3 linked regions of the Arabidopsis thaliana genome follow. The protein of the gene in region 3 binds, or shares a complex with, the protein of the main gene of each other region. Each region holds a gene or a part of one and is shown on either strand. Other genes may lie near its edges. The genes, in order: AT1G73875, AT5G11350 and AT1G61470.

What was found.
Region 1: AT1G61470 (region 3) and AT1G73875 share a complex: the UniProt entries of both Arabidopsis thaliana proteins name them as parts of the CCR4-NOT complex.
Region 2: AT1G61470 (region 3) and AT5G11350 share a complex: the UniProt entries of both Arabidopsis thaliana proteins name them as parts of the CCR4-NOT complex.

Annotation. Positions count from the first base shown.
Region 1 is NC_003070.9:27,776,669-27,788,147, reverse strand, and holds AT1G73875 (DNAse I-like superfamily protein), read right to left. Parts: upstream 7,294-11,479; 5' UTR 7,037-7,293; coding exon 6,745-7,036; intron 6,607-6,744; coding exon 6,443-6,606; intron 6,370-6,442; coding exon 6,304-6,369; intron 6,231-6,303; coding exon 6,178-6,230; intron 5,837-6,177; coding exon 5,755-5,836; intron 5,530-5,754; coding exon 5,480-5,529; intron 5,361-5,479; coding exon 5,288-5,360; intron 5,063-5,287; coding exon 4,970-5,062; intron 4,885-4,969; coding exon 4,852-4,884; intron 4,731-4,851; coding exon 4,639-4,730; intron 4,407-4,638; coding exon 4,274-4,406; coding exon of another isoform or gene 4,190-4,273; exon of another isoform or gene 4,083-4,189; coding exon 3,997-4,082; intron 3,868-3,996; coding exon 3,783-3,867; intron 3,640-3,782; coding exon 3,577-3,639; 3' UTR 3,228-3,576; downstream 1-3,227. Other genes in the region: AT1G73890 (Bifunctional inhibitor/lipid-transfer protein/seed storage 2S albumin superfamily protein), read left to right, coding at 1-12, 100-245; AT1G73885 (AT-rich interactive domain protein), read right to left, coding at 440-486, 566-731, 824-1,065, 1,161-1,284; UGT89B1 (UDP-glucosyl transferase 89B1), read right to left, coding at 1,584-3,005; BBX16 (B-box type zinc finger protein with CCT domain-containing protein), read right to left, coding at 7,626-7,886, 8,017-8,934. UniProt on the Arabidopsis thaliana protein: Acts as a catalytic component of the CCR4-NOT core complex, which in the nucleus seems to be a general transcription factor, and in the cytoplasm the major mRNA deadenylase involved in mRNA turnover.
Region 2 is NC_003076.8:3,616,831-3,628,154, reverse strand, and holds AT5G11350 (DNAse I-like superfamily protein), read right to left. Parts: upstream 6,637-11,324; 5' UTR 6,573-6,636; coding exon 6,471-6,572; intron 6,388-6,470; coding exon 5,946-6,387; exon of another isoform or gene 5,939-5,945; coding exon of another isoform or gene 5,878-5,938; coding exon 5,711-5,877; intron 5,563-5,710; coding exon 5,497-5,562; intron 5,363-5,496; coding exon 5,310-5,362; intron 5,237-5,309; coding exon 5,155-5,236; intron 5,078-5,154; coding exon 5,028-5,077; intron 4,874-5,027; coding exon 4,792-4,873; intron 4,579-4,791; coding exon 4,486-4,578; intron 4,400-4,485; coding exon 4,367-4,399; intron 4,281-4,366; coding exon 4,192-4,280; intron 4,050-4,191; coding exon 3,287-4,049; intron 3,194-3,286; coding exon 3,108-3,193; coding exon of another isoform or gene 3,101-3,107; intron 2,993-3,100; coding exon 2,908-2,992; coding exon of another isoform or gene 2,881-2,907; intron 2,818-2,880; coding exon 2,743-2,817; downstream 1-2,742. Other genes in the region: AT5G11370 (FBD / Leucine Rich Repeat domains containing protein), read right to left, coding at 203-306; AT5G11360 (Interleukin-1 receptor-associated kinase 4 protein), read left to right, coding at 1,551-1,629, 1,720-1,952, 2,041-2,319; AT5G11340 (Acyl-CoA N-acyltransferases (NAT) superfamily protein), read right to left, coding at 7,087-7,304, 7,643-7,765, 8,776-8,929; AT5G11330 (FAD/NAD(P)-binding oxidoreductase family protein), read left to right, coding at 9,294-9,536, 9,645-9,949, 10,036-10,246, 10,346-10,813. UniProt on the Arabidopsis thaliana protein: Acts as a catalytic component of the CCR4-NOT core complex, which in the nucleus seems to be a general transcription factor, and in the cytoplasm the major mRNA deadenylase involved in mRNA turnover.
Region 3 is NC_003070.9:22,673,548-22,681,904, reverse strand, and holds AT1G61470 (Polynucleotidyl transferase, ribonuclease H-like superfamily protein), read right to left. Parts: upstream 3,814-8,357; 5' UTR 3,721-3,813; coding exon 2,884-3,720; 3' UTR 2,603-2,883; downstream 1-2,602. Other genes in the region: AT1G61480 (S-locus lectin protein kinase family protein), read left to right, coding at 1-99, 192-485; AT1G61475 (ATP binding / protein kinase), read left to right, coding at 1,134-1,200, 1,307-1,405, 1,514-1,677, 1,739-1,849, 1,938-2,135; AT1G61460 (G-type lectin S-receptor-like Serine/Threonine-kinase), read left to right, coding at 4,717-5,360, 5,457-5,965, 6,094-6,204, 6,307-6,452, 6,532-6,742, 6,841-7,078, 7,169-7,265, 7,344-7,637; AT1G61450 (CAP-gly domain linker), read right to left, coding at 7,984-8,028, 8,109-8,203, 8,281-8,357. UniProt on the Arabidopsis thaliana protein: Ubiquitous transcription factor required for a diverse set of processes. It is a component of the CCR4 complex involved in the control of gene expression.

The sequences.
Region 1 (11,479 bases), 5.1 Mb from region 3:
CTCGTGTCGCTGGTAAACCACTTTTTACCAAAGTTTTCAGTATCTGCTAAAACCAAAACATGGAAACAGTTAACATAGTGTTACTTTTCACTTTATCAGCTACTCCAGTGGCTCAAATGGCACCAAGACCCACCAGTTTTATGGGATTAGGTTATGGTTTGAAATCCTCTGGCTCCAAGTCTGAGATTCAGCTAACCATCTTTGCACTCGCAGCGATCTTACCCGCCGCTCTCCTCCTCATCTGAGTCTTTCTGCATTAACTACCATCTCGGTCTCTTCTGTTTTGTGTTTTCTCAATGAATCAAGATCAACTTTATAACTTTACCTTACATTTATAAAAGAAGAGATTATTGGAATGATTCCTAAAGAAGTTTGCAGTTCAGAAATGAAATCGGAAAACAGAACAATGAAGAACAATACTCTTCTTTTAACTTTGAATCTATAACATTATGAACACAACAAGCTCAAGATCAACTTGGAATATGGCTTTTTAAAACACCCCAATAGCAAAAAGTTTCAGTCTTTAAATTCTTTCTCTAAACACTGAACTGAAACTATTCCAAACTAGGAGCCACTTCTGTTGGGTTGGACTCAAACACATCTTCAGAGTTTGAACTCTCTGCTTCATCAAGAAGGTCACGAGATTGAATCGCCTCTTTATATACTGGCGTCTCCTTGAAATCCGTCGCACCTTCGTTATACGTCCCCGCCGCAAGTCCACCAGAGATTAGCTGTTACAACATTTTGAACCATAGTGAATTGATTGGTTTAACTTCAAAATTGGAGAATTGTTATAAAGCAACTGAAAAGTACAGAAATTTACCGCGAAAAGGATTCCGAAAGCCCACAAGTACTGAACGAAGAAACCTAGACCATCCCACTTCTCACCTTCAAAAGGATCTGGTTCAAGTCCAGGAAGATCCTTAATGGCAAATTTCGGCGCATCTTTCGGATCACCTCTGAATCGAGTATTCACCACCGTTCTATCTCCATCTTCGTCGTTGATAACGATCTGAGACGGCGGGTTCTCGCCGTCAAAACCTTCGTTTCCCTCTTCCTGCTGTTCTTAGTCGTTGTAGGAACGAGAGTCCGACGCTTCTTGCTGTCGAAACGACCGGTCTGTGTGGAAGGTTTTTTGGCGGCAGAGACAACGTGAAGACCGGTTCTTGATGGATTAGGGAAGTTTACGAGTCGGAAGGTGGAGAAAGGGTTACGAGAAGAATCGGTGAGGTCGTTGCAGCGGATTCTAGCTCCTCCGCCACCGCTGCTCACGGTGAGAGCCATTTCCTTTGTTGTGTGGATATGTGAGAGAGGGAAGCGAAGCCAGATTCGAAGAAGATAAGGAAAACAAAACATTCGGGTATTATTAAACTTGACCCGATATGACCCGACCCGACCAAATTGACCCGATTTGTTTAACAAAAATCACAAACACTTATTTATGAATCACAATCACAAACACTTATTTATCATCTTACAACAATTTAATAAAATACACTCATGCATATTTTTTTAGTTCGTGAGGAACATACTGTATTAAGGAAAAAAAAACCATAATTAGAATTTTGTTTGACTAAATCAAATCATTTGTTTAGTCCTAAACTAACGACATGTTGGATAAATCCATCTAAATCATTCACTGAGCTCCCACGTTCTTGAATCGCATCCAACGCTGCTTTCCTCAGCTCCACGGCTTTGATCCTCTCCGTTTGATTTCCGGTCACGGAATCAGCGAAAACTCGAGCTAACTCGTCCGGGTCAGGCACCGTGTCAGGTCCTTCGCAAGCACGCACACCTACTTTCAACTCATCAACCACCAGAGACGCGTCAGTGTACTGGTCAGCTCTCATCGGCCACGTCAGCATCAAAACGCCGGCGACAACCGCCTCCACCACAGAGTTCCAACCACAGTGCGTTAAAAACGCGCCAACGGCTCGGTGACGTAGCACAGCTACTTGTGGAGCCCATCCTCTGATCACCAGACCTCTCCCAGCCACGCGATCGTCGAAACCGTCCAGGATGTTGCCACGTGTTGAGTCTTTCTCAACGGGCTCCTTTACGGCCCATATGAAATGGACGCCGCTTTTCTCAAGCCCAGAGGCGAGTGCAAGAGTCTGCTCTTTAGTCAAAACTACTTGACTTCCAAAGCACACGTACACCACGTGGTTATCCTCACGTGCGTCAAGCCACGACATCACGTGATCAACAGAAACAGAAGTCGGGCCACCACGGTTATCCCCAGATAACGGAATAATTGGGCCTACAGCCCATACACGATCATGGCCCATCTCTCGCTTAAGATGTTCGAGATAAACACCTTCCATGGCGGTGAACGAGTTCACGACGAGTCCCCAACTCGCCACGTTATCTCTAAAGGAGTCTCTTATGAACTCCCAAGCTGGATCTCCGTGAACGTAACTTCTGTAAAGAGAGGAGATCTGATCAAAACGGTATTTTGGACAATTCGGGATCTTGGGAAAGTGGAGGATCTCGTTATCGTCATCTTCGTTGATCTTGGTGGGCATTTCGATCCAGAGAGTATTGAGTATGCAGCAAGTGATAGCAGCGGAGGGAGAGAAATCGAAACGAGGGATTCCGAGGTTTTTGGTCCAACCAAGGAAGAAATCAGATACGATGGCTACTGGAGGAGAAGGGTGAGAAGTAATCCAAGAGATAAGCGGCGCGTGGAGATTACCAAGCGCGTGGATCATTAAAGGGAAGCCTGAAGGAGGTAAGTCTTGGACGTTTTCGACGCCGGAGGGGATTGAAGGGTGGGAGGGAAAAGGGAGGATAAGTGGTTCGATGTTAACTACGGCGGAGAGAAGCGGAGAGAGAAAAGGAAGGTTTTTTGGAGTGACTAGGACGGTTATTTTTAAGGCGGCGCCGCCGCGGAGAGCAAGGCGGTGGGTGAAGTCGAGGAGGGGAATCATGTGACCTTGCGCCGGAAATGGGAAGATTAAGACATGGGTCTTTGTCGGCTTGTTGTTTTCCTCGTTCACTTTCATAATGAGCTTTTCTAGTGGGACTTTTTTTTGTTTATGCCGGAATGTTTTGGTGGAGCAAAGAGAAAAGAGTGATTTAAATAGATGTGTGTTAACTGTAAATGGCCGATTTGTGTACCCAATGTATTCCCAACACTTGGAAAGAATGCTTACGACACTTTTGATAATACCGTGTGGTATTTTGATTAATGCAGCGTCAGATGACACTTGAGAAGAGCTTATTTTGGAGTGAACAGATTGAGATACTTTTTACGCAACGTCTCTTACATTGTTTTGCTTCTAGTAGCAAAATGGGTCTTCGCTCCTCATAGGTACACGTCCAGTAACATGCTATTTTGGTATTAACTTTTTAAAAGCAGAAAGAGTAGGTGCAAGTCTTGGGTAGGTAAGGTAAAAAAAAATGTTTCAAGTAAGCAAATCTATGTATGGGAATGAGCCCAAAACTTGTTTATGTTTTACAATTTACTGAATCTGTTTCCGAACTCCAATTCAGAAGCCTCGATGAGCATTCAAAAACCTCAAGGGATGGCCAAGTCAGGTGGCTCGGTTTAGTGGTTGGTGCTAACATTTTGGCTCATTGCCAGTCATTGACAAAGCCGAGTTCACATGCGATAGCGAGATGGTCGCTTCCCCAATTCTGCAAATTTTCATTGGTCAGAGACTTGTATGCAACTCTTCCAATAATCCCAGTTTTTACATTCTTGAAAAAATGAATAGAGTAACTCGAGAAAGTAAAGGGTTGCCCCAGAAAAAAAGTTTAGCCTAGAAAAAAAAACTTACCTCACTAGGTAGTCCACCTGTTCTTCTCAATACATCTGCTGGCAAGGTCTCAAGAACCCTCACAGGAACGAGTTCCTTGGTATGCCTGGGTTCAAAACCTCAGATTAATTATTGAGATTTCAAAATTACATGTGCATATATCACAACATTGATAGCCATATATAATTGAAAGCTCTGATTAATGATTCGGATTTCATAAGCACAACAGACTTACCATATATAATCAACAGTTCCAAGGAACCTGGAATGATACGTTGTTGCCAATGGTTCACCGCGTTGATCTCTAGTTCTATATGTACCCTGCAAGATCTCAGGTCTTAGCATACTAGAAGGATATATAACATCATACAACATGCTACTTTCCCTAAACGTTTTTCAGTATCTAGTATAAAAGAAAGCCACAGTTCCTAAGAACTTAGTTTTCCTGTAAGGCAGATTTCAACTCTTTTCGATGCGTCCACCAGTCGAGAACAAGAAACAAAAACACTTACAGGAACTCCACTATATGCGCTGTTAAGCTTCAGTTGATGTTGGACATGAGTGGTTTCTTGACCACCAGTTGCAAGCTGTAATTCTTCCTGGCTCCACTCATTGAGTAGTGATCCGGAGATGGATGCTGAAGCACTGACGAAAGAGGGAGTTGTTTAGTTAGACTAAATTGAGATAGAAACTTCATCTGAGGATTACGTAGTTGATTAAGCGCAGGCCAAAGAAAAATATAAGTAATCTATCACTCTATCAGTTCATCAGGTAAACAGAAGAGATATAAGCAATCTATCCGTTCATCAGGTAGGCAGAAAAGGAATATGGATACATTATTTAGAGAAACCAAAGACCCCGGTGAATTACAAGCTACCTAAATGCATAATGGTTTCTGAATGACCTCTCCTTTGGTTCCACTTCAGTCTGGCCAGAAATTTGCCTGCGATCGTGAAGTTGTGTATCCAACTGTCCAAAATTAAAAAAGGAATATAAAGAGTTCATTCTAACTTTCCCAGTAAAGAAAGGAAAAAAATTATGACCAGGCGAAATGTAAAAGAAAGAGTCCAGAACCCTCAATGGAACTCACATCAGCTGAAGCTATGAAATCATAGATTGCACTCTGTACAGCAAATCCAGAGTAAGTTTTAGAATTCAGCTAAAAAATAAGTATTAGAACAAAAAAAACAAAAGTTGGTAGAGATCACCTGTGGAGTGCTATTCAGATCACCTGCAATCGCCACAGGAATATTTCCCCATTCCTGTGATAGCTTGTAAGCCTTCTCCAGAAAGAGTCTTACCTATAAGTTATGACATATCAAATATCAAGAAATGAGCGAGCTACTTAGAATTTCAATGAAGTTTCAATACTGACAGGCATTGATGTACTGATGAATACCATAAAATAGTACTAGCTAAAAAATTGACATTTCTAAACTCAGGATGTGTAGTGACAGAAATGCTCTACCGATTTTATGGATAAGCCAGTTTTTATCAGAATTTTGTAAGGATCTAGCAAGACATACCTGGCCAAGCTTGATATCCCCACGCTTAGGATTGAATAGGACATGTATATTCCCAACCACTAGCCTTCGAGGACTAGTAGAAGTTTGCATAAATCAACCAAACATGGAAGTGCGCATAAAATTTAGTAAGGATCTTAAAAGTAAGTTCAATATTCACTCCAGTAAAGGAATCAGAACAGAACTCAGACATACTCTGATGATCGCACCCGTAATTTAGACTTTGGGTCCTCCTCACAGTTCATCTGTTCCGTAATAGACAATCAAGTAAATTAATTAATTGCAAGGGCTGAAACTAAGAAAATTAAGCAATTAGCCTGCAAAGCTGAAAACACAACAGGAGGGAAAAATATATAAAATAATGCCCACAATTAAGCTTGTCATATCTCTGTGCTTCTAGAATCAAGAAAAGACAGAGGAGAAAAGAGGGGGAAGACGACAATACAGAAATAACTTAAAACGGTGCATACCTCTAAAACACAAAGTTGAGCAACATTGTTTCGCATACCAAATTTATCAAACTCTATATGTTGATGGTCTAGAAGTTCAAATCTGCATTCACAGCAGAAATATAACATAAATGATGAAACTAGTAGAGTAAGAGTCTAATACAAAATAAATAACATCGAGAACAATAGAAAGCAAAGCTTTCAGCCTTGAACAATATATTGTGAAGCCAAGGTCAAAGCTGATAACATAACACAACGTGAACCTACCATTAACAATTTCGAAACATTCAAAACAGATAACTAGAAGATCTAATTTATCTCGTTCCAAAAGAGAGATATTCCCTGTAGACAATTCAAATGGCTAGATTCCTGATCCTGACTCCAGCATATAGAGACTTCCCACCACATTAAAAATGATCCTAAATAGAAAAAAACTGAACTTACAGATTCTCTTTCCAAAATATAGCACAACCATCACTCGCTTCTCCAGTCCGACTCTAAAAAATACTAAATGTATGAAAAAGGCACCATTGCATACAAGGTAATAAAGCTTTTGACTCGTATATATACCTTGTGAACACCTCGAAATCCTCTATTTTTAAGAAGAACATCTAAATCATCAAAGCGGTCAACCTCCTGCAATAAATTTGGACATGAGAATGCAATGAAACTTAAATAGTGTAGATCTAGGCAATCCCCTGGAACTTGCCTGAAGACATAAGATGCTTGCATTGTAACGACTAATCTCCTTGCATATGAGATGTTTCCGTCTACTCCACTCTAAGTGCTTCCGCGGAACATTGTAATACAAGTCCATGTGGTTCGACGCATTGTCAACACCAAGTAGATTGTACGAAACTAATACTAATTTATCTGAAGAATTGAAAAGGAGATATCAAGTTTTTCATACACATAAGATAAAAATGTGTTCAAAGTACGGAATGTGATACTTCGTGAAGCTAATAAAAGCATATAAGTGCATTATTCAGTGTGATTGCAATGCACACAGACCTGCTAGATTTTCAAAATTGTTTGCGGAAAACACCCATTCGCGCTCAACGGAACTCGAGATCTTCTCCTTAGTTCTCCGTCGCCGGCGGAGAGAAGACTTACTATGTCTGACAGGTTTACAATCACGCTGGCTGAATCCCGGCGTAAAAGAACGGTGAGGTTTTAAGGTTATTGACTCCTTCCTATTCGATTTCTCGTATACGTTCTCCGATTGTTCCGAAATCGAGTTACGCTTCCGCTTGGTGATGGTGATTGAGTTCGCCGTCGTGTTCTTACGCTCGTATCCGCTCATGTCAATCGTAGCAAGTCGGCGGCGCGTGAGCTATGCGTCAACCTTGTGAAGTTAACCAAATTCAGTCGGTTGAAATTCACGATTTTTACTGGTTAACGATTAAAATACGTACTTGATAACCCAAACCGGTTGGCTTAAGTAGTTGCCTAGTTGGGCTCTTTATGTTGGTTTTTTTAATTGTGTGATGGGCTATTCAGCCATAACTAGGCCTTAATGGCTTTTATTTCTTGCTTCATTTGTAAATTGTTGGAAATGGCATGTTCTAATTTGAACTTGTTTCTTGTTTTTTTTTTGTTTTTTTTAATTACACTTGTTTTCTTTGTAACATGTCTTCGCTACGAATTTTTTAGTGTTCGTTATTATCACACATTATGGCTTTTTTCTCCAATTCATTTGATAAACAAAGAGTTTTCATTTGATATATACAATAAATTACTCAATCAATCAATCTATAAAATCATAGTTGCCGGCTACAAGTCTACACAACCATCGGCCCCAAGAGTTTCAGTTCATTATTCAGTACATTACGACAATTACTTCAAAGGTCTTAATTACAAGATCTTTAAAGTGTTGATTAAAGTAAATCAAATCACGTCAAAAGTGACGTCCTCTTCACGAAACGACCTTTGATTCGAGGTCTCTGCTCAGCGTTAAGTTTCCGAACCTCATATCTTATTTTCTTTGAGAACAACCTCGTCCTCCGCTTCTCCTTGTACCTCAAAACCCTCGCCTCTCTCTCCCCGTCCGATCCTCCTCCGTCTCTCCCTTGCTGACGTGTCACCGATCCGTCGCTCGACATCAATTTCTCGTACCCACCCACAACATGAGGCAGACACGTGTTCCCTCCCAACTGGATCAGTGAACTTTATAACGTTATTTCGTCTTTTATAATCAATATATATCAGCTCAAAGTCAACGGAACTCGACACTACTAAAGACTAACATAGAGATGAGAGATATAGCTAGAGACACCAACTTACCATGCACTCCGGTTTGATTCCGGTTTTCCACGGCGAACCGTGATTATCCCAAGCACTAATCACAGCTCCATAATCTAATCTCAGAAACAAACTTGTCTTTCTATCTTTATCATTTGATGCTTCTCTATCACTATCCTTTGATCCTCCATTTTCACACTTGGCTTCTTCTTCTTCTTCATCTTCATCTTTCACCCTCTTCAAATCCTTACAATTAATCTCAAACCCTACTTTATTCTCTTCTTTGATGACTCCAACATCGTTTGGTTCCTTGAATCCCAAGCAAAGTTGTTCTTCCTCAAGTAAACTCTCCACGTCCATAGTGAGATCCTCAAGATCCATATCCAATGGCACGAACCCCATAAAACCTTCATCGTCCATGATTGCCTTCTCGACTTCTCCTAATTCTCCATTAGTAGTAGTGTTATTGACTTCATCAGGAACTAAGCAAAAGCCGTTTATATCATCAATCAGCATGTCTGAGAAAGGATCGAAAACAGGCACGCAACAATTCAGACTCTCCTCGGTTTCTTCTACGGAGGAGAACGAGAAAAAGCCATCATCTTCGTCTCCACCAAGCTCCGGAACAAGAGGATCGTTTGACTCGATTTGCAACAACTTCTCAAACGCACAACTCTTGCTCCTAGGCGTTCTCGCCTTTCTCCTGAATCCTTCGTACCATACCGACGTCGTTTTGTCTGCCGTCTCCGTCGGCGAAGATGATTGTAACCGGACACGTTCGTGCCGTTTCGCTAAATGGTTAGCCGAGTGGATCGAGGCGTCGCAGCTTTGGCATAGGAAAGCGTCATCGGCTGGACAGTACCAACTAGCACGTGATCTCTTCATGCACGCATCACAGCCACGCGCCGCCATCTTCTCTCCTGTCACGCTCGCGGTTCGGCTCTCTACATCGACCACCATTGTGTGTGTATATTACACAGTGAGAGAGTTGCTGAGATGGAGAGAGAGGCCTTGAGAAGAACAAAATACTGTAATATATATGGTTTTGCAACGAATTCACTAGTGTGTGTGGCGTCTCGATTTCCCGGCAGTATTTTTCATTTTTTTCAGAATTATTATTTTTTCATTACCTTGTGTGGTCTAAATTATTTGGAGTGGAGATAGAAATATAAATAAAAACTCATAATTCTATTCATAGTTTATTATGTACGTGTACATGGTATTTTAGAATGAGGACTTTTCACGAGTTTTTTACTTCAAATTTACAATTTTTGTTTTCATTATATTACGTACTTTCAAATAAATGTTTAGAACCATATACTTTTTTTTTGAAAAATTAGAACCATATATATACTTTATTCTTAAATAAAATTTTGAACCAATATGTCTGTAATTTTGCGCTCTCTCCGTTTTCATGATATAGTAAAATATGATCCTCAAATTCTTAATTACGATCTAACCGCTAGTTCATGTATGGTACTAAACTTCATCATTCTTTTCGGAAAATAAGTCATAGTGAAATACAGTTTGGTGAAGACACTGTTATAGATGGTGTTTTTTTTTCGTTGGCAAACACTGTTGAAGATGGTTAATATCAAATAATAAAATTGATCTTGTTGAAATATTAAAAGACAAAAAAAAATGAAAAATTTAAGTTCTGTGTAAAACTAGCTATTGGTGGTTAGTCAAGAGGAAACTTATAATGGAACCCACTGGTGATCTGATTCTGCCTCCTTATTGGTTGAAATATACTGTCATCTCCGTTTTTGCACTCTGATTGGCTCAAGTTCTTCCATGGAGATTCTTACGTGGACCCCACATTTTCAAGTTTTGTTTTGAAACTATTTTGTTTGTTGGTGCGTTTGCATGACCGCAACGCAGCGTGATACTTTAAACGCAGGAAGTTACTTTTCATCTTTTCTTTTCTTTTTTTGTATAGCAAACGACATTCTTTTTTGGAACTTCCAACAACACCTGTGAAGTTTTGTAGAACATTTAACATCCAACTTCTAATGTTTGATGATAGAAAAAAGGATTATATGTCACTAAAAATGTAAAATTTCTGCTTTTGTGATCTTAGAGATGGGTGTTTAATCAGCACCTAAAGATTCAAATGGGTCCTAAATTTAATTATTATCATTTATTGTGGATCTAACATAACGGAAATGATATGAGTAATGGAATTCTAGTCCTTTAAAGAAAGGAATTGATTGTGGTGATATAGCGACGTGACAATATATACAAATCAAGAGGTTGTGACTTCATCGAATTTTTGGCAATTTTGCAGTTTACGCCAAAAGAAACAAGGAAACAAACAATTTTACGCCACATGACCCACGAACAATTGAACATCTCTCTATCATAGGACTCGTTCCTCTGCTTTACACCACCATTTTATTTATATTACTTTATATGGAATTTACGCAAGTTATGTGACATGATATACAAACCTTAATTATATCACCATTCACCACCAAGTTGAAATCTGCACATTTTTGTGATACATGTGTAGAATTAATAATATAACCTATTGACGAACGAGTGAATTTCGGAAGTGGAGGCACAATAGGCCTTGATTGATATGAGAGACCACTTGCTAACATAGATGCGGGAAATCTTTTTGCTTTCATACGTCCGATTGCTCTGCGTTGAAGTGTGATAGATCGGTACTTGAAACAGTTAAAATTATCCCAACACTAATTAATAAGTATTAAGTAACAACAATAAAAACAAATATTCCTATATTAAAGCTCGATATGATAAATAAATGTATCACTACAACGTTTTCCTTAAATCTGAAGTATTTTCTTGTCTATTTTGAACGAAATTAAAGATCAATTTACCACTACTATATTTTTGGTTTTGTTTTCATAACCTATGGTTTTAAGTATAAAGTATGCTAACTCTATAATATTGTAGACGGTGGAAGTAAAGTACCACAACACGACGTGTGCCCAAATCATACATGATACATATTAAAATGTTCCGTTGGTCGTCGTACCCCAATTATATGTTACAAGTTAATCGTTTCTTAATCCAATTTATAATCTGTTAAAATACTCGTTAATTTTAGGCAAGGATTTGCCACGTGTAATAAACCCGTATAAACGATTGGAGAAGCCAAAAAAGACTTGTTAATTACTGCGCGTCCTCCTACATTCGCGCTCTCTCCCTCCGTACAACAAACAAACCCCAATTTTTTTTTTCCTACTCTGTATAGATAATTTTTAATCATTAGAGAAAAATTAATCGTTTAATTAGTTTACTATTATCCGCTAATAATAATCAAAAGATCAAATCAACCCACATTCCCATCACGTCTATTTTCTCCGTCTCTCTGTTTTCTTCTCTCAGGTTTTAGACCTCCTCAACGCTCGTTTCCAAGCTTTCCCGATAAAAACATCGTCTTGATTTTCTAAGGTAATGAGAACAAAGATCGCATCTTTTTTTCTTTCTCCTCATATCTTTGTTGCCATGTTGCGATTTTGCTGATCGCGACTTTGAG
Region 2 (11,324 bases), on a different chromosome or scaffold from region 3:
CTTCTAAACAAACGTTGCACTTGATGTAAAAAAGTTTTTTCGAATAAATTTTACATTTTATTCAAAAAAAAAAAAAAAAAAATGTCACTAGAGATTTGCAAGTATACAAACTACTCGGCAGTAATGCATAGTTCCTGATCAATGTTCTCCTATAATAAGTAACACTTAGCTCACGCAAACACCGTGAAACTGCAATGTCAACCCAAAATTTGATACATTTAGGTTGATTAGATGAACAGATAGACTTGAGACACAAGCTGGCAGATTCCTGTCAATAAAAAGCTCCATCCTCTTGCTTTTCTCCATATCAAAATTGACGGTGTTATCGTAGTCAAGTTTTGGCAAAATACTCGTGCTTACAGCAACTTTTGTTGGAAGAAACGATAAGATCTTCACGAGCAATTCATCATCAGAATACCCAATGATCTTGTCTATATCTTACGTACACAAACAATTGAAACAGACCAATGGAACCAAACCCTAGAAAATCCTTCAATTTGTTAAAACCCTAGGAACGAAACAAAAACAGAGCGCTCTGTTTACCGGTCTCTTATGCGGTATGTACATAAAACTTTCAGACCGGTTAAGTAGTGGACCTCGTGGGCCAGCCAATGGATCGACCCACAGAGTCACATACTAGTACTAACTTTCAATTAAAAAAAATACTAATTGTATATATAAATGAATATCTTTACATAGTCAATGAAATAAAATCAATGAAATATGTGATATTGTAAAGACTTTAGTGTATAGAAAAGAGAATATTTACAAAAAAAAATGAGAAAAGTTATTTGCTATTTAATAAAGAATTATTTATTTTTATAAAATAAATTCAAATGGATGCTATATTTTTATTTTTTCAGTTGTAACTTGAAAAAACACAAATCTTAATGAAATACGTTTTACAGACAAATTAATATATCACCAATGACTTGTTTTTATATGGAAAATTCGTTATATTTTGTTCGATTATTAGAATTTACAAAGAGAAAAAAGAGTAAAAATATATATTCAAATAGCTTTTCAGTTCAGCTTACTAGAAGAGAAGGAAAGCAAATAAACGCGTTTTTGGTTTTGTCTTTTTGTACATTTTTACTCAAAAATAACAACTGTTCTTCTGTGCCCTATACGTTTCAAAGTTCCATTTAGAGCCTCTGTATTTATAATCAACTAAGCAATAAGTCAATAACTTACTGAAATTGACAACACTTTTTCTGAAATTGTTTACTTGTGTCTTACAGAAAAAGTTGTAATCAACTAAAGCAATATAAGTCAATAACTTACTAAAACTGAGTCTTGCCACTTTTCTGAGATTCTTTACTTGATTTTAAGAATTTTTCCCCGAGCTTAGTAACTAGTACTGCTGTCATCAATAGTGGTTGTTTCTTTTTCTGTCTCAACATAACTTTTTCAAAGCGTTGAATTTTTTTGACCTCTTTAAAATCCAACAAGATGTCTTGAAACCAGAAGTAAGTATCTTGTGAATTCCATTCCGATTTTGAGAGCCAAAGAGATTGAGAAACAAGCCTTGAACCCTTGTATCTTCAACAATGGGAAACATTGTCAAGCCTTTCAAGCAACAACCTTCTTCTTTTGCTTACCAGCCTCTCACCGTCCCTCTAATTCCAGGTACATCTCTGTTTTATAAATTCACTTTACAATTGTTTACATGTAATGTTTTTAAAATACGTAACTCAAGTCTATATATGTAATATGAAGAAGTGGAGGCACAAAGCGAGAATCTGAGAGTCTTCAGTTTCAAGGAATGGATGAAAGCAACGAAGAAATCCAGACAAGACAGGGTCGTAATTCGCGATGATCACTATATTCGATCATTCTACAAGGGCTACATCGATAACACCACATTTGCACCATCAAGAACTAAAACCGGTACCCCTGTTTCTGTTGTCGAATATCTTCATGGCAGTTCACAGGCTCTACAAGAGTGGGTGGTAAGTAAAGTCTGTCTTTTTTTTTTTACTCAACATATTTAAATTTTTCTTTTGTCTCTATATGTGTTGTGTACTTATTGATTGATAGGACATATTTGGCGTGATCTTGCTTGAGCTTTTAGTTGGTTCACAAGATAGATCAACAGCTTTGAAGAATCAAAGCTCAGATTGGACTGGGTCTTTCTTGCCCGATAATTATAAGATTGGGGAAATAATCGACCCCCGAATAGGAAGCGATTATCCTGTGGATGCGGCCACAAAGATTGTCACACTCATCCAAAGATGCACCAATCGGGACAAGAAGAAACGACCATTGATGCAAGAAGTTTTGGATGCTCTGAATTATATTGCAGGGATTAGGTCCTAATGTGAGATGTCCTTATATTGGACACAGGGACATGGATAAATGCTAGGTGTTTATTTGTAATAATTGAAAGAGTCAGTCTAGACTAAAGCTGAAAGAGTTAGGGGTTAACAATTGAAGCTATTTAAAATCAAGAAGCATGCTTTAAACTTTTATAGCAGATTTTCTGAAATCGAGTGTCGCCCAAAAAGAAAAACTCAAATATAATTTGTCACTGTAAAATATGATAGAGAAAAATACAAAACTAGAGCCTATGAGATTCTGTAAAAGTTTACTCTTAGATGTTTTGCTGGGATATAAAATAAGCTATTGGCGACCTTCAGAGCACAAACATTGCAACAAGGATGTGCTTTGAACCCAAGACCTCAACCATCTAATCTCTTTACACTTTCTTAGATTTCTAATGAACTCACCACCAGTTTAATATCAGCTTTTGGGCAGAGTTTTGCTGCTGCAGAAGGCCAACTCTGAAACCAGTGCAATGTGATCGCTTCCCCATTTCTGTAACAAACCAGAAATACAAACATAAAAAAGTTTTGTAAACAATTCAGTTAAAAAGGTAGGCTATATAAGAATATCATGGGATTTTACAGGAGTCGGGAAGCCTGGAGTCCACTGCATTGCTTGCTTTGGTATTGGAGCAAGCACACGCACTGTTTGAAGACCTTCCGACCGCCTAACCCAAACCAGAAATCAAACATGAGAATATGTCAAAACGCGCATAATTTACAATAATGAAGTAATCTAATTTTAAGGTTTGTCACAAATGGTTTTGCTTCTAATGCTAATACCATATGTAGTCAACTGTCCCCATGAAACATCTGTGATAACTGGTCACTACAGGTTCTCCGTTTTCATCCCTTGTGTTTGCTTGACCCTAACCACAAATTTCAACAGCTTCCTAAGGATATAATTTCTCAAGAAACAGAAGATAAAAGGGAAAAACTGTAGGGAGGATATATTACAATACCTCCACTTCTGAGTATGTGCTTTTAAGCTCCAGAGCATGTTCAACCGTAGTTCTCTCTGGGTCACCAGTTGCAGTTGCTATCTCCATTGGAGTCCAAGAGGATGGACTATAAGTGATTTTGTCACTATTTAAAGCTTCAGAACTCCATTTAAGTGGAACTTCACTCACAAGTTCCCCTTTTTGACTCAAGTTTTCATTGTTATCGTGTAGCTTAGCCAAAAAGGTTTCCCCATCTTCACCTAAACTTTCTTCATCTTGCGCGAATACTACTGGTTCGTCCAATTTTAAGCCATCTAGTTTCATTTCAGCCACAAAAGTGTCAACCTTGGTGGAGAGACTAGATGAAATATCTTGATCACTGGAACATATTTCCTCAGGAGTTTGCTCTGTTTCTGATAAACCGGAACTTACAGAACGATCTGTATTCAAATCTTCTCTAGCACTGGAAGCATGTTGAGGTTCTGTATCTGATATGGTTAGTGAAGAAAGATCTTCAGCTGTCGAGAGATTCCCGGAATCATCAGGTTTTCTGTTTTCTATTCCAAACTGACAATCTGAGGCCATATTCTCGCATGGTAATACTTGGTCAGAGCTGGAGGTGGCTTCGTGACCAGCAAGAATTGTATCACCACATGGAAGCTCAGATGTCTTCTCGGAGGGGGCCGTTCCAACATCTATGTTGGAGTTATTCTCCATATGAGCATTTGTGATCAAATTTGGTGGTTGAACTTGACCTTGTGGAGATTTGTTGGCGGACTGATACCTGGAAAATTGAGGAGGCCTATCAACCATGCTGACAATTGCAAAAGCAGAGTAGAACCCGATATTCTAGGGTAGACATGGAGGTGTTAAGTTGCATAACCATATACTTAATGATGTCGAAGAACTTGGTGAGTTTGCTCTACCTCGTTGTATAATTTTCTGGCCTTGGTGGACGAAACTCAGCAGAAACTTGCCCCGAAACTTTGTCTCTGGCCAAACCAGACAAATCCAACTGCAGAGAGCAGCACAAGACACAATGTGAACCATATATATAATGTTGCGAATAGGTGAAGGACTTTCCTAACAATGAAGCTTTACCTTCCGGTCTGAAATAAAGTTGTACAAAGGACTCTGCAACCAGGTGGAAGAATGTTATGACCATGTCACAAAACAAGTTTTTTGGGGTATACAAACTGGTTAAGGTAAGATTGTCCTACCTTTGGTGTACAATTGAAATCCCCACAAAGAACAATAGGCGCATCATCCCAGAGTTTTGAAACAGCATGAGCTTTATCTAAGAGTGTTCTGACCTACGTAACAGAGATAAATACATAGATGATAAATGGAAACAGTTAAAGAAACCAAGTTAAGCAAGGGGCGAAGCGTTTGGTTTCAAAAGTTTTATCTCAAACACCTAACACTTATACATGTTCATAGCGTATAGACAGAGTTAAACCAGAGAGTAAAACTGTCGTTTGGCAAAAGATTTCTACAAACTAGAATATGGCATTAAAGGAAAGTACCTGACCAAGTTTAAAGTCTCCTCTTTTAGGATTAAAAAGCACGTGAATGTTACAAATGACAACTCGATGGGAACCAGCAGAGCTGTAAAAGAAATTGGTAATTCACTTCAACCCACCCACAAAGTATAGTCCATACAGAAAACCACTGAAATCTGAAGAAAATCGGCCACTTCCTAGTGAAATTATCCACCCATAAAATGATATGATAGTAACATTTACAGATACTTTTAAGTTACCTTTCAGGTGGAGGGGTCTCATTTTCTTTTGTATGTGAAGTCAACAATGTCTACACAGAGCAAATTTAATTTAGGGCAAAGAGGCAAATGTATATAAGTCACTATCAACATAAGGTATCCATATTACCTCAAGCACACATATTTGAGCAACGTTATCTCGGAGACCAAGTTGATTGAACTGGATGCTTTCCTCGTGAACCAACTTGAATCTAATATGATAACAATGAAATCCTAAACAAGATTCCAGACTGATCCACACAAGGAAGAGCAAGGGAATCAAACCTATTGGATCGCCAAAATATTGCACATCCGTCAACAGCATTACCAGTCCGCATCTACAGTTTTATAAAATAGAGTTAACCCCACATTTGAAGCCTAGTTCTTATGATGCATACCATTTAATCTTTACTCCAAGAGAGTCCGTAGAGAATACAAACTCAAGACAACTAAAAGTTTTCAACAAACCTACCTTCCAAATAGCACTATATCCCCGGTGCTTCATCTCCTCCTCTAAGTCCTGAAATTTATCAACTTCCTGACATATACAAAATAATTTTAGATTACTATACATATGGAAGATACATTCTGTATACATATGATAAAAAAATAGTAAAGCAAGAAAGTTTTGTCTCCTTAGTCCCTCATACAAGCAATTACCAAGAAGATATAGCAGAAACTATAACCTGAAGGCACATTATATCTGCAGACCATAGGCTAAGCTCGAACACTAATTTGCTCTTTCTCCATCCCCAACTCAACATATTCCTCGGTATGTGAAAGTAAAGACTTCTCCAGTGATCATTTGCAAGGTAATCCGCCAATATATTATACGATAAAACAACAAACTTTTCTGTAGACAAGAGAAAGCAAATCAAAAATTGTATACCGGAGCAAATGAGATGGTCACGCATAAATTACCGGAGCCAGGAGACGGTGGCGTTTTGGCATATTCCCATTCACGGTAATCTGAAGGTTTTGACCGTGGCCGTTGACGAAAGCTCTGCTGTGGAGGCGGCCGGGACATCTGGTTTTGATAGAACGGAGGGGGAGGGCAAGCCGCGTAGTTTTGATTAGACGGAAACTGATTAGGTTGACGGAATTGTTGCCACTGACCTCGTGACGGCGGCGGAGGTCGAAATTCGTAATTCTGATTGAACGGTGGTTGCTGCCGCTGATCAAGCGGAGGCTGATGTTGTCGATAAGGTTCACCATGCCGGAATCGGAAATTGGCGTCATGAACTGATTGAAAATGAGAATCTCCAGTAACGAACTGATCTCTTCCCGCGTCATCATTGTACGGACGATCGGAGAAACTTCTCCCACCTCGGCCTCGTCCTCGTCCTCGGGCACCTCTGTACTGCTTCGTAAGAAACAAATTATATTCCAGTAACCGAAGCAACGCAGCGGGAGTGATAGAACAAGAGAATAGCTGAGAAAATTTACCGGAGCACGAGTAGACATGGTGAAGATTGGAGCAGAGATAGTGGAGGCGTCAGCGAAGGTAACGTCGGAGAAAACTTGAGCAACAAAACGAGAACGCCGCATTGGTCAATCGAATTGAGTGAGGAAGCTCGAGGAACCGGTGCTTAATTGCAGACACCGATGAACGGAGACTCATAAGACGTGCCGTTTTTTGATTCAAGAAGAACACATCTTCCAGTCTTCACTGTGAATAAATGGCACGCAAGCCAAAACGCAAGTCATAAATTCTTCATTTTTTTCTTTACTTTATTCTACAGCTCATAACAAGAATCATTGTCTCTCTTTACTCAAATTCATAGACCAACATTTACAAACACGATGATACTTGGTAGTAAAGCTTTGAGTTGCAAAGTTAAAAACTTTTCCAAACGAAAATGTCCAAAGCCAAGAGGACATTAGAGAAATCATGCAAGTATATAACCAGGAATTTATAAATTTAGAATCAGTAAGAAAAATTAAGGTCAACAAAACAAGCAAAACTCGGAAACCGAAGGATCATCATAACATTAATAGATCTTGAACTGAATGCAACAAAGAAACTGGGGAGGAATGGCTTCCCCAAGTTTGGTATTTTTCATCATTTGTTGGCTTCAGATTGAGCAAAGGACTTGCTGACAACGTAGCAATCTCTTGGCTCAATGTTGATGTAATAGTTTTGTATGGTATCTGTGATCTCAAAGCCGAACTTCTTGTAGAACTTGATTGCGTCTTCGTTGTTTGTCTGCACATGCAAGTATATCTCACACATGTTTTGCTTGGAGCACATGTCAAGAACATGATTCAATAGATTTGAGCCTGCAAAAGACGAAAAAAACAAGATACACAAATTATAGACATCGAGTTTTTCTTTCTAAAGCAGGGAATTCGATCTTAAATCTTGATATAGGAGGAATCATAATTCCAGTTTCTCGGTAAAACAACGATATGCATAAAACCCTAAGGACTATTTCTTGGTGGTTTGAATCTCTAAATGGAGACACTTCAAATAGAGAACTACAGAATAAACATACTACAGCTGGCCTCATGTGTTAAAACGTAAGGAAAACAACAGAATTACACAACATGCTAACAGTTTTCTTCATTATTCATGTTTTGTCGGTATTCAAGTTTTGCACAGCAGATTTATGACTTACCAATGCCAATCCCACGGTAGGGTGCAAGAACACCAAGCGTCATTATATAAACTCGCATGGCCCCACTTTCTTTCTTCTCCAGCCGACAGGCGATAGCTCCAACACATATGTCATTGTAATATGCTGAGAGGAAGTCAATCCATTATTAGAACATGAAGAATTTTCCTTGATCACAAATTAGAGAAAATATATGTAACACCAAGAACATAACTACCCAAGCAACTGCAATGAAATAGTTAGTACCAAATTTAAGACGTTGTTAACAGTCTTTAGACTTTCATAATCACATCTTATTGTACATTTAAAGAACTAGTTGACGCAAAAGATGTTCCAACCAAGGGTTTCACAAAAGTGAGCTTGAAAAAATTCTGTGAATACGAAAATTAGTCTTGGACCATGTTCTCGAAAGATAATATAAGTCAATCAGCGATAGATTACAAGGTACACATGCTTAACATACAAAAAATTTTGCTTGGTTGAACAAAAGAATGCAGTATTCATATAGTCAAACAACTTAAAACAACGATCAAGATGATACTTTGTCAACATCAATGTCATCAACCACAAAGTTCAAACATGAATCGGTAATTACGAAACAACAGACAATAGAAAGCAAACAAAATCGATCCATTCAAGGCTTAGAAAGAAGGCTTCTACCAATATTACCGATAAAATCATCTTCTTCCTAGTATCAGACACTAGTACTGAACCTAAATAAAACATGGCTCAGTCAAATAAATTCACGGAACCGAACAAAAGAGAAGACACAGATAATCACACCTATTACAATGACCAGTGAACCAACTAAACAAACAACCAAAGGAAAGCAGGATTGCAAAAGGTACTTTCTTTGTAGAGTATACCAAGCCTAATCACAGAACAGTTCATCATAAACCCCCCAAAGCAAACTTTTCCTATTAAAGGAACAAACTCGACTACTAATGCTCGCTCAGGTAAAAAGACAGAAATCTGAGAGCAAAAATACCAAAATTCGATGAATTTTAGTTCTGATTCAGAGGCACATTCCCGTGAAATCGTAATAGCACATGCCCATTAAGAAATTTAAGCAGGAATTACTGGGGAAAGCAAAGAGAGACAGAAATTAAGAAAAATCAAGTAAGAAGAAGACGAACCAAGCTTGGTGAATTCGCCGGCAGCGATTGCATCGGCGTAGTACTTGTCGTTGTAACGAACCGGGAACAAAACCGTGTTGAGTATCTTAAGCTGCATCAAGTTTTTGTCTCTGACTCCATCTAGCGATACGCTGACTTCTCTCCCAGCTCCCATCGCCGTCGAACAATCTAGATATTCGACGTCGTACGGACAGAGACCAAAGAAATCAAGGGAAGAAAAAGCTCGAGATTTAGGGGAAACCCAAAAATCTATAAATAATGTTCGTGGGAGAGAGAATAGACTATTGGGCCTATAATTCATTCTGGGCCTGGACAAAATGAAATTCTAATACATAGTTTTGACGCACAACAGAGATCAGTTTCTTATTTATATGACCAAACGATTGGGCTTGGAATATTGGGCCTGGAATCATCCCACATAGTTCTAATCCTCTTATCCACCCAGAGGTTTCATTAAGTTGAAACTCTCTCTTATCGTTAACAATTTGTGAAGCAGAAGAAACATTTGATTTGATGAGATGGGGAAGAAGAAAGGGAAAGCGATCATAGTAGGAGGAAGTATAGCAGGCTTATCTTGCGCACACTCGCTCACGTTAGCATGCTGGGATGTTTTGGTTCTCGAGAAATCTTCCGAACCTCCTGTTGGGAGTCCTACTGGTGCTGGGCTCGGACTCGACCCTCAGGCTCGGCAGATCATCAAATCATGGCTTACTACTCCACAGCTCTTAGATGAAATCACCTTGCCTCTCTCGATTGATCAGGTAATAAGAACACTGAGTTTAGTTCGACAATTGAAACAATCGGCGTTTAGTTTTTCCAGCTCTACCTAAAGTTTTTAACTTTTTTTGTGTGTTGTGGGTTTGTTGTAGAATCAGACAACTGATAGTGAGAAGAAAGTGACAAGGATTTTAACAAGAGATGAGGATTTTGATTTCCGAGCAGCTTATTGGTCAGATATTCAATCTCTTCTGTATAACGCATTGCCTCAGACCATGTTTCTTTGGGGACATAAGTTTCTGTCTTTCACAATGTCACAAGATGAATCTAATGTAAAGGTTAAGACTTTAGTTGTGGAAACTCAAGAAACTGTTGAAATTGAAGGAGACTTACTTATTGCAGCTGATGGGTGTTTGTCTTCGATTCGGAAAACTTTCTTGCCTGACTTTAAACTGAGGTTTGAAATAAGAGTGTGATCTTCATTTATCGATATTTTGTGGACTTGATCATATAGGATTTTGTTTTTTTCGTTTTATGTGAAAGGTACTCTGGTTATTGTGCTTGGAGAGGTGTATTTGATTTCTCAGGGAATGAGAACTCGGAAACAGTTAGTGGGATTAAGAAAGTGTATCCGGATCTTGGAAAATGCTTGTATTTTGATCTCGGTGAACAGACTCATAGCGTGTTTTACGAGCTTTTTAACAAGAAACTCAACTGGATTTGGTATGTCAATCAACCAGAGCCTGACCTGAAAGTAAGAAGACTAATTCCTCTCTCTTTTTGATTAGGATGCGTCTACAAGTGTAGTTTTCTTGATTTCTATTTTGTTGTTGTTATGGAATTACGATATCAGAGCAACTCTGTTACTCTAAAAGTGAGTCAAGAAATGATCAATAAGATGCATCAAGAAGCAGAAACCATTTGGATCCCCGAACTAGCGAGACTCATGAGTGAAACAAAGGATCCTTTCCTTAATGTTATTTACGACTCTGACCCTTTAGAACGAATCTTTTGGGGAAACATCGTGTTGGTTGGAGACGCGGCTCATCCCACGACCCCTCATGGTCTAAGAAGCACAAACATGTCGATACTTGATGCGGAAGTGCTAGGCAAATGCTTAGAGAACTGTGGACCTGAGAATGTAAGTTTGGGTCTTGAGGAATATCAGAGAATAAGATTGCCTGTTGTTTCTGAGCAAGTTTTGTATGCAAGGCGTTTGGGGCGTATCAAGCAAGGTCTGGATCATGACGGAATTGGAGATGGCGTTTTTGGTTTGGAGCAGAGAAACATGCCATTCTTTTCCTGTGCTCCCCTTATCTAGTGATAAATATTTGATGTGAGAGATGTTGTATGTTAATAATTGTGTGTTTAATAGACTTGAACATATTGTTTGGAACGTTAATGTAGAAACTATGGATACTTCAAATACAAGTTATATAAAAATGATGAAAAAAATCAGTTTTGTGACCCTAGAATCCACAAAGCAGGAGAAAATTTGTTTTCACTGTCAAAAAGGAAGGAAAAAAAAAAAATTGCGTCTGCCGGGAGTCGAACCCGGGTCTATTGCTTGGAAGGCAATTATCCTAACCGTTGGACTACAGACGCTTTTGTCTTCTATTTACAGGTTGACATATTTAAATATAATGGTCAACGCAGAAGCCGTTGATTCTTACATGGTGATTGGTGGATACTATTTTTAGACATATTATTATATTTTGGGACAATTATACATATGTATTATACACCTTTTTCAGTTGTTCATTCTGGAGAAAAACAAAAACACTAAGTGAATCATGTGATGCGTCGCACAAAATGCATTAGTAAAGAATGTG
Region 3 (8,357 bases):
GATATCTACAGTTTTGGAGTTATACTGTTGGAAATCATCACCGGGGAGAAGATCTCAAGATTCAGCTATGGTAGACAAGGAAAAACCCTTCTTGCATATGTAAGTAAGGCTTTTAGGTTTTTATACACTTGTAGATGTTTCAAAAATGTTTCTTGCTGTTACATTCTGAAGACCTGAAACCTAAACAACAGGCATGGGAATCTTGGTGTGAAAGTGGAGGAATCGATCTTTTGGATAAAGATGTTGCTGATTCATGTCACCCATTAGAAGTTGAGAGATGTGTGCAGATTGGTTTGCTATGTGTTCAACACCAACCTGCTGATAGACCAAACACAATGGAGTTGTTGTCTATGCTCACCACAACATCAGATCTTACATCACCAAAACAGCCCACATTTGTAGTGCACACGAGAGATGAAGAATCTCTGTCTCAGGGTTTGATCACCGTCAATGAGATGACCCAATCTGTGATCCTTGGGCGTTAAGAAACTGTGTGATATGGAAAATTTTTACAGTTGAAATGTTTGGATTGTACATTAGGTTCTTGGCCTAACACGCTAGCTAACAGGGATATGAAAATGACAATGTTGTTATGTGAGCTCAATGAAAAAGAAACGTTTAATGATAGCAGTCTAACGTTCTCGTCTAGGTTCCCCCTCCTCCACTTGACGTTTTGAGCTATATCCATGGACTTTATAAACCGCTATTTTTGCAGCTTTGAATCAGTCAATATTGCTGACCTTATGCTCATCTCTTGTGGTCAACATTGCGAATAGGTGCTTGAAATTAGTTCCCCTGCGTACGTTATTATTATTTTTGGCTTATATTCTCTTGTTCAAAGTTCAAACCATCACTTTTAAAACCACCAATATTGTCTCTTGTTCAAAGTTCTCTGATTTGATCACATATTTTTGTGTTTTTTTGAAGTAGTCATTTGAAAATCGTATTACACGTCTTAGAAATTTACATCAAAGGGATCAATGAAGAGGTTTCATGCTTAATATAAATGGAGTGAGAACTAAAACTACGAGGCTCTAGTACTTAAGTTTGCTTTCCTAAGGATTTAATAGTGCGCTGAAAGCGTTCGGTATGTTATGTTTCAAAGCTGATCAGAGCAAGTAGACCAGGACCTAATGGACACAGTGCAATTTTCTCCAGGAGGAGAAATTATTTCCATTCGTCTTGCACGTTCTGAACTAGGTACATATAACAGGAAAGAGCTACTCCGTCAATTAAACGATGATAGTGTTCTCTTTGGTAGCAGTATGACTTGTTGTTTATTTTTCTTTTGTCTTATAAATCTCAGATGCAAATGAGCGTAACATGATCATTACAGCTAGTATTGTAAGCTTTGCTCTGTTTGTGATAATGGCTTCTGCTGCGTTTGGTTTCTGGAGATATAAAGGTACAAACTGATGTTCTTGCTACCTTTCTATTGATTTCTTGTTTTTTTTTATTTACAGTACTCATATCTTGCTATCGGTAACACACTGATGACCTATATTATAATCAGCTAAGATATCAAAGGATGCTTCACAAGTTGCATGGAGGAATGATTTGAAACCACAAGATGTATCAGGTTTAAATTTCTTTGAGATGAATACCATTCAAAATGCCACCAATAATTTCAGTATATCAAACAAACTCGGACAAGGTGGATTCGGTCCAGTTTATAAGGTCAGAGATTTTTTATTTATAACCTCTTTGGTCTTTTCTATTATTTGCTTATGCTCTCCAGATAACCTTCTGCAATGTGTTTCAGGGAAAGCTGCAAGATGGGAAAGAAATTGCTGTAAAAAGGCTTTCTAGCAGCTCGGGCCAGGGCAAAGAGGAGTTCATGAATGAAATAGTACTCATCTCAAAACTACAACATAAAAACTTAGTTCGGATTTTGGGATGTTGCATGTCGCCCATTAGAAGTTGAGAGATGTGTGCAGATTGGTCTTCTCTGTGTCCAACACCAACCTGCAGACAGACCAAACACACTTGAATTGCTGTCCATGCTCACCACAACATCAGATCTTCCACCACCAAAACAACCCACATTTGTAGTGAACACGGTAGTTGATGAATCACCGTCTAAGAGGTTGATCACTGTCAATGAGATGACCCATTCTATGATCCTAGGGCGGTAAGAGATTATGTGATGAAACCTGTAGAGTGAATGTGTGTTTGATTGTTCACGAAAGGAATCAGTTTTCGAATGTATATAACTTAACCTTTCATGCTTTTTGTAAAAGATTTTTCACTTAAGTAAATAGAGAAAATTACTATAGATGAGCTTCCAATTTGGTTGACCAATGATTTACTATAGAGTTTGCATTTCCAGTTGTTCTCCAGCAGAATTGTCTAATCTTGTGAGGAGCTTATCTGCAGAGCCAAATGAGCTCATAATTTTGGGTTTCCATTGGTTAGATACTATCATATCCTCATAGTATAAAAGTAGAATTAGTCAATGCCTTAAATCTAAATAAGGGAGCCATGATTGAATTTGCACGTATTAAAAGTGAAGAAGAAACTCAAGTCCACAGGAGAAAAGTGTGACACTCCAACCAAAACAACTCATAATTGGTACTAACAAAATATTTCACATAGATTCCAAATTTTGATTAGTGTATAGCGAAAAAGGAAAAAACTGGGCTTGTTACATATCTTCAGCTCAATTCGGAGGAAACTGATAGATAGTAATTCCAAGACAAAGATGTTACATGAGAGGCTTTTGAGTAGATTCTAACTTTAGATTCATTAAAGTATTTACTAAAGAGCAATAGTCATAATATTGAGAGAATTGTTTTGATGGACAATAAAAGCTGAAAGTTAAATCCTAAGCATATAAAGAAAGAATTTGCATACTAGCAACAAGACATGCTAAACATTGAGGGATCACAATACGTAGTTCCTTCCTTGGACCGGTATCGGGATGTAACATCTAGTCATCATAAGCTGTTGCTGATGCTGCTGCTGCTCTAGTTGATATTGCTGATCATCAGCTCTTCTTCCAGTACTCTCCTTTCTACTATTGACCAAATCGAAAATCAACTTAGTGAAGACACGAGCCGTCAATTCGCTGTCTGATCCAGCGTGATGAGCTTTTCCAACACGCCTCATCTGCAACACATCCGCTATTCTCTGTAGTCCGAAACGGCTACTTAGTCCGCTGCATAATCCAGCCATTTTCTTCACATCATAAACAAACCTTCCCAAAAGCTGCTGGACGGTTTCATCAAACTCTTTCGAAGTCTCGGGTAATGGTTTTCTAGTTAAACCTTTAAGTAGATAAGCTTTGTCGTAAGAGCCTTGAAAAGTCACCCATCTCATTTTTCCATGTTTCTCATTGAGAATCTGAGAAAACTCCATGAAGAACTCTTCGATTCCAATACCTTCTTCTCTGATCTTATCCAGATCCAAACCATTGTTTTTTAAAAACGCTATAGATTTATCATTTTTCAAGCTCTTAGATTCGTTGAAATCTGACAAGTTGATCTCCCAGGTTTTAGTGATTCCTTTGCCGAATAGCGTTAACCCTAACTGGATGAGATGGGTGTTGTCCACATTGAATTTCATGTCTCTATAACGAATTTCATCACTTGCGTCCATGGGAGTCTCCTTTAAGCATCCGGGAAACTCTGTGTCGATAGCGATGGAATTACAATGTTTCAAACAATCTCTTATCGAATTCATCTCTGCTTGCTTGTTCCATCTCCAAACTTCACCGCTCATCTCGAACGAAACTAAGAAACTGTTTGTTTATCTGAAAGAGAAAGTGAGATAACAAATGAATTTTATTTGGTTGGCGTTATATTATTAGAGAATTTATAGGGATTAGATTAAGACACCGACTTCAGTTTCCTTATTTTTAGGATACTATAAAGTTTTCATTTTTTTTCCATCAAAAGTTCGTGTTGACTTTTTTGACTCCTAATTCTTGTTAAACACGAGTTTTCAATTTTTCTCTTAAAATTCAAAAACAAAAAAACGCGTGGTTCCGAAGCGGTTTTCAATTTTTAACACTAAACCGAATTAAATTCCTTGCCCGAACCGAATTAAATTCTAATTTCTCTCTCAAAACTCAAAAGCCTTGTTTCCGAAGCGGTTTACGATTTCAACGCTAAACCGAATTAAATTCCTATTACAAATTAAAGTCTAATTTTCCATCCCGAAATACACGAAATTGACAAAAGACTTTATTTTAAGTCTTCCCGGAAGGTTCTTCTCTGGGTTAGTGGCTTGACGACACAAGTCAAGCAACCTGTCATACACTGACACAAGTCAATCTTGACTGTTGAATTATTCGGCTGCTTTTGGATAGTGACAGTTAAGCCCATATGGTTGGAGTACGAATCAATCGATTGGGGTCATTAAGGTCTTCAAGACATCACCGAAGCTCTGACTTTTTGTTATGCACTGCAAGTGTTCGAGGAAATGCCTAAACGAGATAATTCATAGTCTGCAGTTCAAGAAAAATATAGGTTCTTCTGGGCCTAACAAGCTAGTAAGGACTGGAACAATGAAAACGTTGCGTATCTGATACGGTAATGACTTCTTCGTGCCAATGTATCTATCATGTATTTATTAAATAATGCATATTTTTGGAAAATAAGTAAAGTAGTTCTGACAAGACACAGTGTTTTTTTTTTCCCCGGCTCTCTTGCTTCATACACACTAATCCAAAAAAGATAGTTATTGGAGAAAGAAAAAAACAAACAAACGGGGACGATGAGGATCACGTTCTTTGCTTCTTTGCTCTTATTTACCAATACCATCTTTATAAGTTTTAGCTTTGCAATTGCAGGGATAAACAAAGAGAGTCCTTTGTCAATAGGACAAACTCTCAGCTCCTCTAATGGAGTTTATGAATTGGGTTTCTTCAGTTTTAATAACTCGGAAAATCATTATCTTGGAATCTGGTTCAAGGGAATCATTCCCCGGGTGGTTGTGTGGGTGGCCAATAGAGAAAATCCTGTTACAGATTCCACAGCAAATCTCGCTATCAGCAGCAACGCAAGTCTTCTGTTATATAATGGAAAACATGGCGTTGCATGGTCCAGTGGTGAAACTCTTGCTTCTAACGGGTCTCGTGCAGAGCTTTCAGACACCGGAAATCTTATTGTCATAGACAATTTTTCGGGAAGAACTCTTTGGCAAAGCTTTGACCATCTTGGTGATACTATGCTTCCTTTCTCAGCTCTGATGTATAACCTCGCCACTGGCGAGAAGCAGGTCTTGACTTCTTGGAAAAGTTACACTAATCCAGCGGTTGGTGACTTTGTGCTTCAGATTACAACGCAAGTGCCAACACAAGCTTTAACTATGAGAGGCTCGAAGCCTTATTGGAGAAGCGGTCCATGGGCTAAAACAAGGTTCACGGGGGTACCACTAATGGATGATTCATTTACAAATCCATTAAGCCTTTAGCAAGATGCAAACGGGTCAGGATCCCTTACTTATTTAAACAGAAACTTCAAACTTCCACGTATAGTGATAACATCGAAGGGTTCACTGGAGATTTCTAGGCATAGTGGGACTGATTGGGTATTGAACTTTGTGGCTCCAGCGCACTCATGTGATTATTACGGTGTATGTGGACCTTTTGGGATTTGTGTCAAGTCAGTGTGTAAATGCTTCAAAGGGTTTATACCAAAATATATTGAGGAGTGGAAAAGAGGAAATTGGACTGATGGTTGTGTGAGGCGTACCAAACTACATTGTCAGGAAAACTCAACTAAAAAAGATGCAAACTTCTTCCATCCAGTTGCCAACATAAAGCCTCCAGACTTTTACGAATTTGCAAGTGCTGTGGATGCAGAAGGATGCTACAAAATTTGCCTCCACAACTGTTCTTGCTTGGCCTTTTCTTATATTCATGGAATTGGGTGCTTAATATGGAACCAAGACTTCATGGACACAGTGCAATTTTCTGCAGGAGGAGAGATTCTTTCCATTCGTCTTGCACGTTCTGAATTAGGTACGGCTTAAATGATATCAAGAAAGAGCTACTTCTTCAATTACAACTTTATCTAGAACTCCATTGATACTATTCGTTCCGGTAGCAGCATGGCTAGTTGTTCAATTTATTTTTGTCTTATATCTCAGGTGGGAATAAGCGCAAGAAGACCATTACTGCTAGTATTGTCAGCCTTTCTCTTTTTCTGATATTGGGTTCTACTGCGTTTGGTTTCTGGAGATACAGAGTTAAACATAATGGTAACACTCTGATGATCTTACTAGCTCTATATCGATCTCTTATTGTTTTTATTCATATTCATGGCCTTATTATTATCTCTTTATCTATTCCTGAAATTCTAGCTTCACAAGATGCACCGAAATATGATTTGGAACCACAAGATGTCTCAGGTTCATATTTGTTTGAGATGAACACCATTCAAACTGCCACCAATAATTTCAGTCTCTCAAATAAACTGGGACAAGGTGGATTTGGTTCAGTTTACAAGGTTGGAGAATTTTAATCTTCTTTGCTCTTTTGTATTTTCCGCTTATGTTCTCGAAATGACTTTCTGCAATCTGTATTAGGGAAAGCTGCAAGATGGGAAAGAAATTGCTGTAAAACGGCTTTCTAGCAGCTCAGGGCAGGGCAAAGAGGAGTTCATGAATGAAATAGTACTCATCTCAAAACTACAACACAAAAACTTAGTTCGGATTTTAGGATGTTGCATTGAAGGAGAAGAGAGGCTGTTGATTTATGAGTTTATGTTGAACAAAAGCCTTGATACTTTTCTCTTCGGTGGGTTCTTTCTTGCCTCATTCCTTTACTATCGGCAGCTTTTTTTCTCTATATGGAATTGTCTTTTCTGATTGTTTTCACGCTGTATTGTTGCTTAGATTCAAGAAAAAGGCTTGAGATTGACTGGCCAAAGAGATTTGATATCATTCAAGGTATTGCGCGTGGAATTCACTATCTCCATCGTGACTCATGCCTCAAGGTAATTCACCGTGATCTGAAGGTCAGCAATATTCTTCTTGACGAGAAGATGAATCCAAAGATATCAGATTTTGGATTGGCTCGGATGTATCAGGGAACCGAATATCAGGACAATACTCGCAGGGTCGTAGGAACTCTGTAAGAATCTATTTCAAAAACATAATTGACTAAAGACTCAAAGTTATAATCAGATATTAACTTGGGAGAAACTATTTGATATATGTGCAGAGGATATATGTCTCCAGAGGATATATTAGAAATCATAAGCGGAGAGAAGATCTCAAGATTCAGCTATGGCAAAGAAGAAAAAACCCTTATTGCATATGTAAGTACGACTTTAGGTATACAGTTGCAAATATCTCAAATCGTTTCTTGCTTTTATAATTTTAAGATCAAACAACAGGCATGGGAATCTTGGTGTGAAACTGGAGGAGTTGATCTTTTGGATAAAGATGTTGCTGATTCATGTCGCCCATTAGAAGTTGAGAGATGTATTCAGATTGGTCTTCTCTGTGTTCAACACCAACCTGCAGACAGACCAAACACACTTGAGTTGATGTCTATGCTCACGACAACATCAGATCTTCCATCACCAAAACAACCCACATTTGTAGTGCACTGGAGAGATGACGAATCATCGTCTAAGGATTTGATCACTGTGAATGAGATGACAAAGTCTGTGATCTTAGGGCGTTGAGAAATGATGTTTGATTGAAACTTTAGTCTGTTTTGTAAACGATTTTTTCTATTTATGAAAGGTATATTCCAACAGATGAACCTCCATTTTGGTGCACCAGTGAATTACTGTAGAGTAAGAATTTACCATGGTTAAAGATTAGGTGACTAATAATAGTACTTAGATTCGAAGCCAATGGCTAAAAGTTTCATATTTCCAGAAACACTAATCAGATAATAGATTCATCATTTCATCTTCCATGTAAGCCAAAATAGAGTTCTTCACATCCATGTTCTTCTCTTCCAACATCCGAACTTCGTTTTCCAGACGCTCCTTCTCAGCCAATAAACTCCTGAATTCACTGTCTTCAATCTCTCTTTGGAATCCAAAACACATCTTCACAAACCCTTCCCTGTGTACAAGTTTCCATATAAATGCTTAGTAACTTCAAGATTAGACAAAATCAAGAACAATGCAGTTATTGATGTTTACCGCTTCTCGGTTAGTCTTTGTAATTAGCTCACTGTGCTCACTTCTTAAGCAACAAATCTCATCCTCCAATAGCTTCAGAGAGTTTCTTGAATCAGCTTTTAAGGAAATAAAACCATAGTGATCAAAATTACGAATGTGAATATTGAACAAATCCTTCGGAAAATTTAGACACCTGTAACGGAGATCAAACCGCTGATCTCGAATTGAGAAGCAAGGAACGATCTAGTAAGCTCAGGTTCCTTGAGAGAC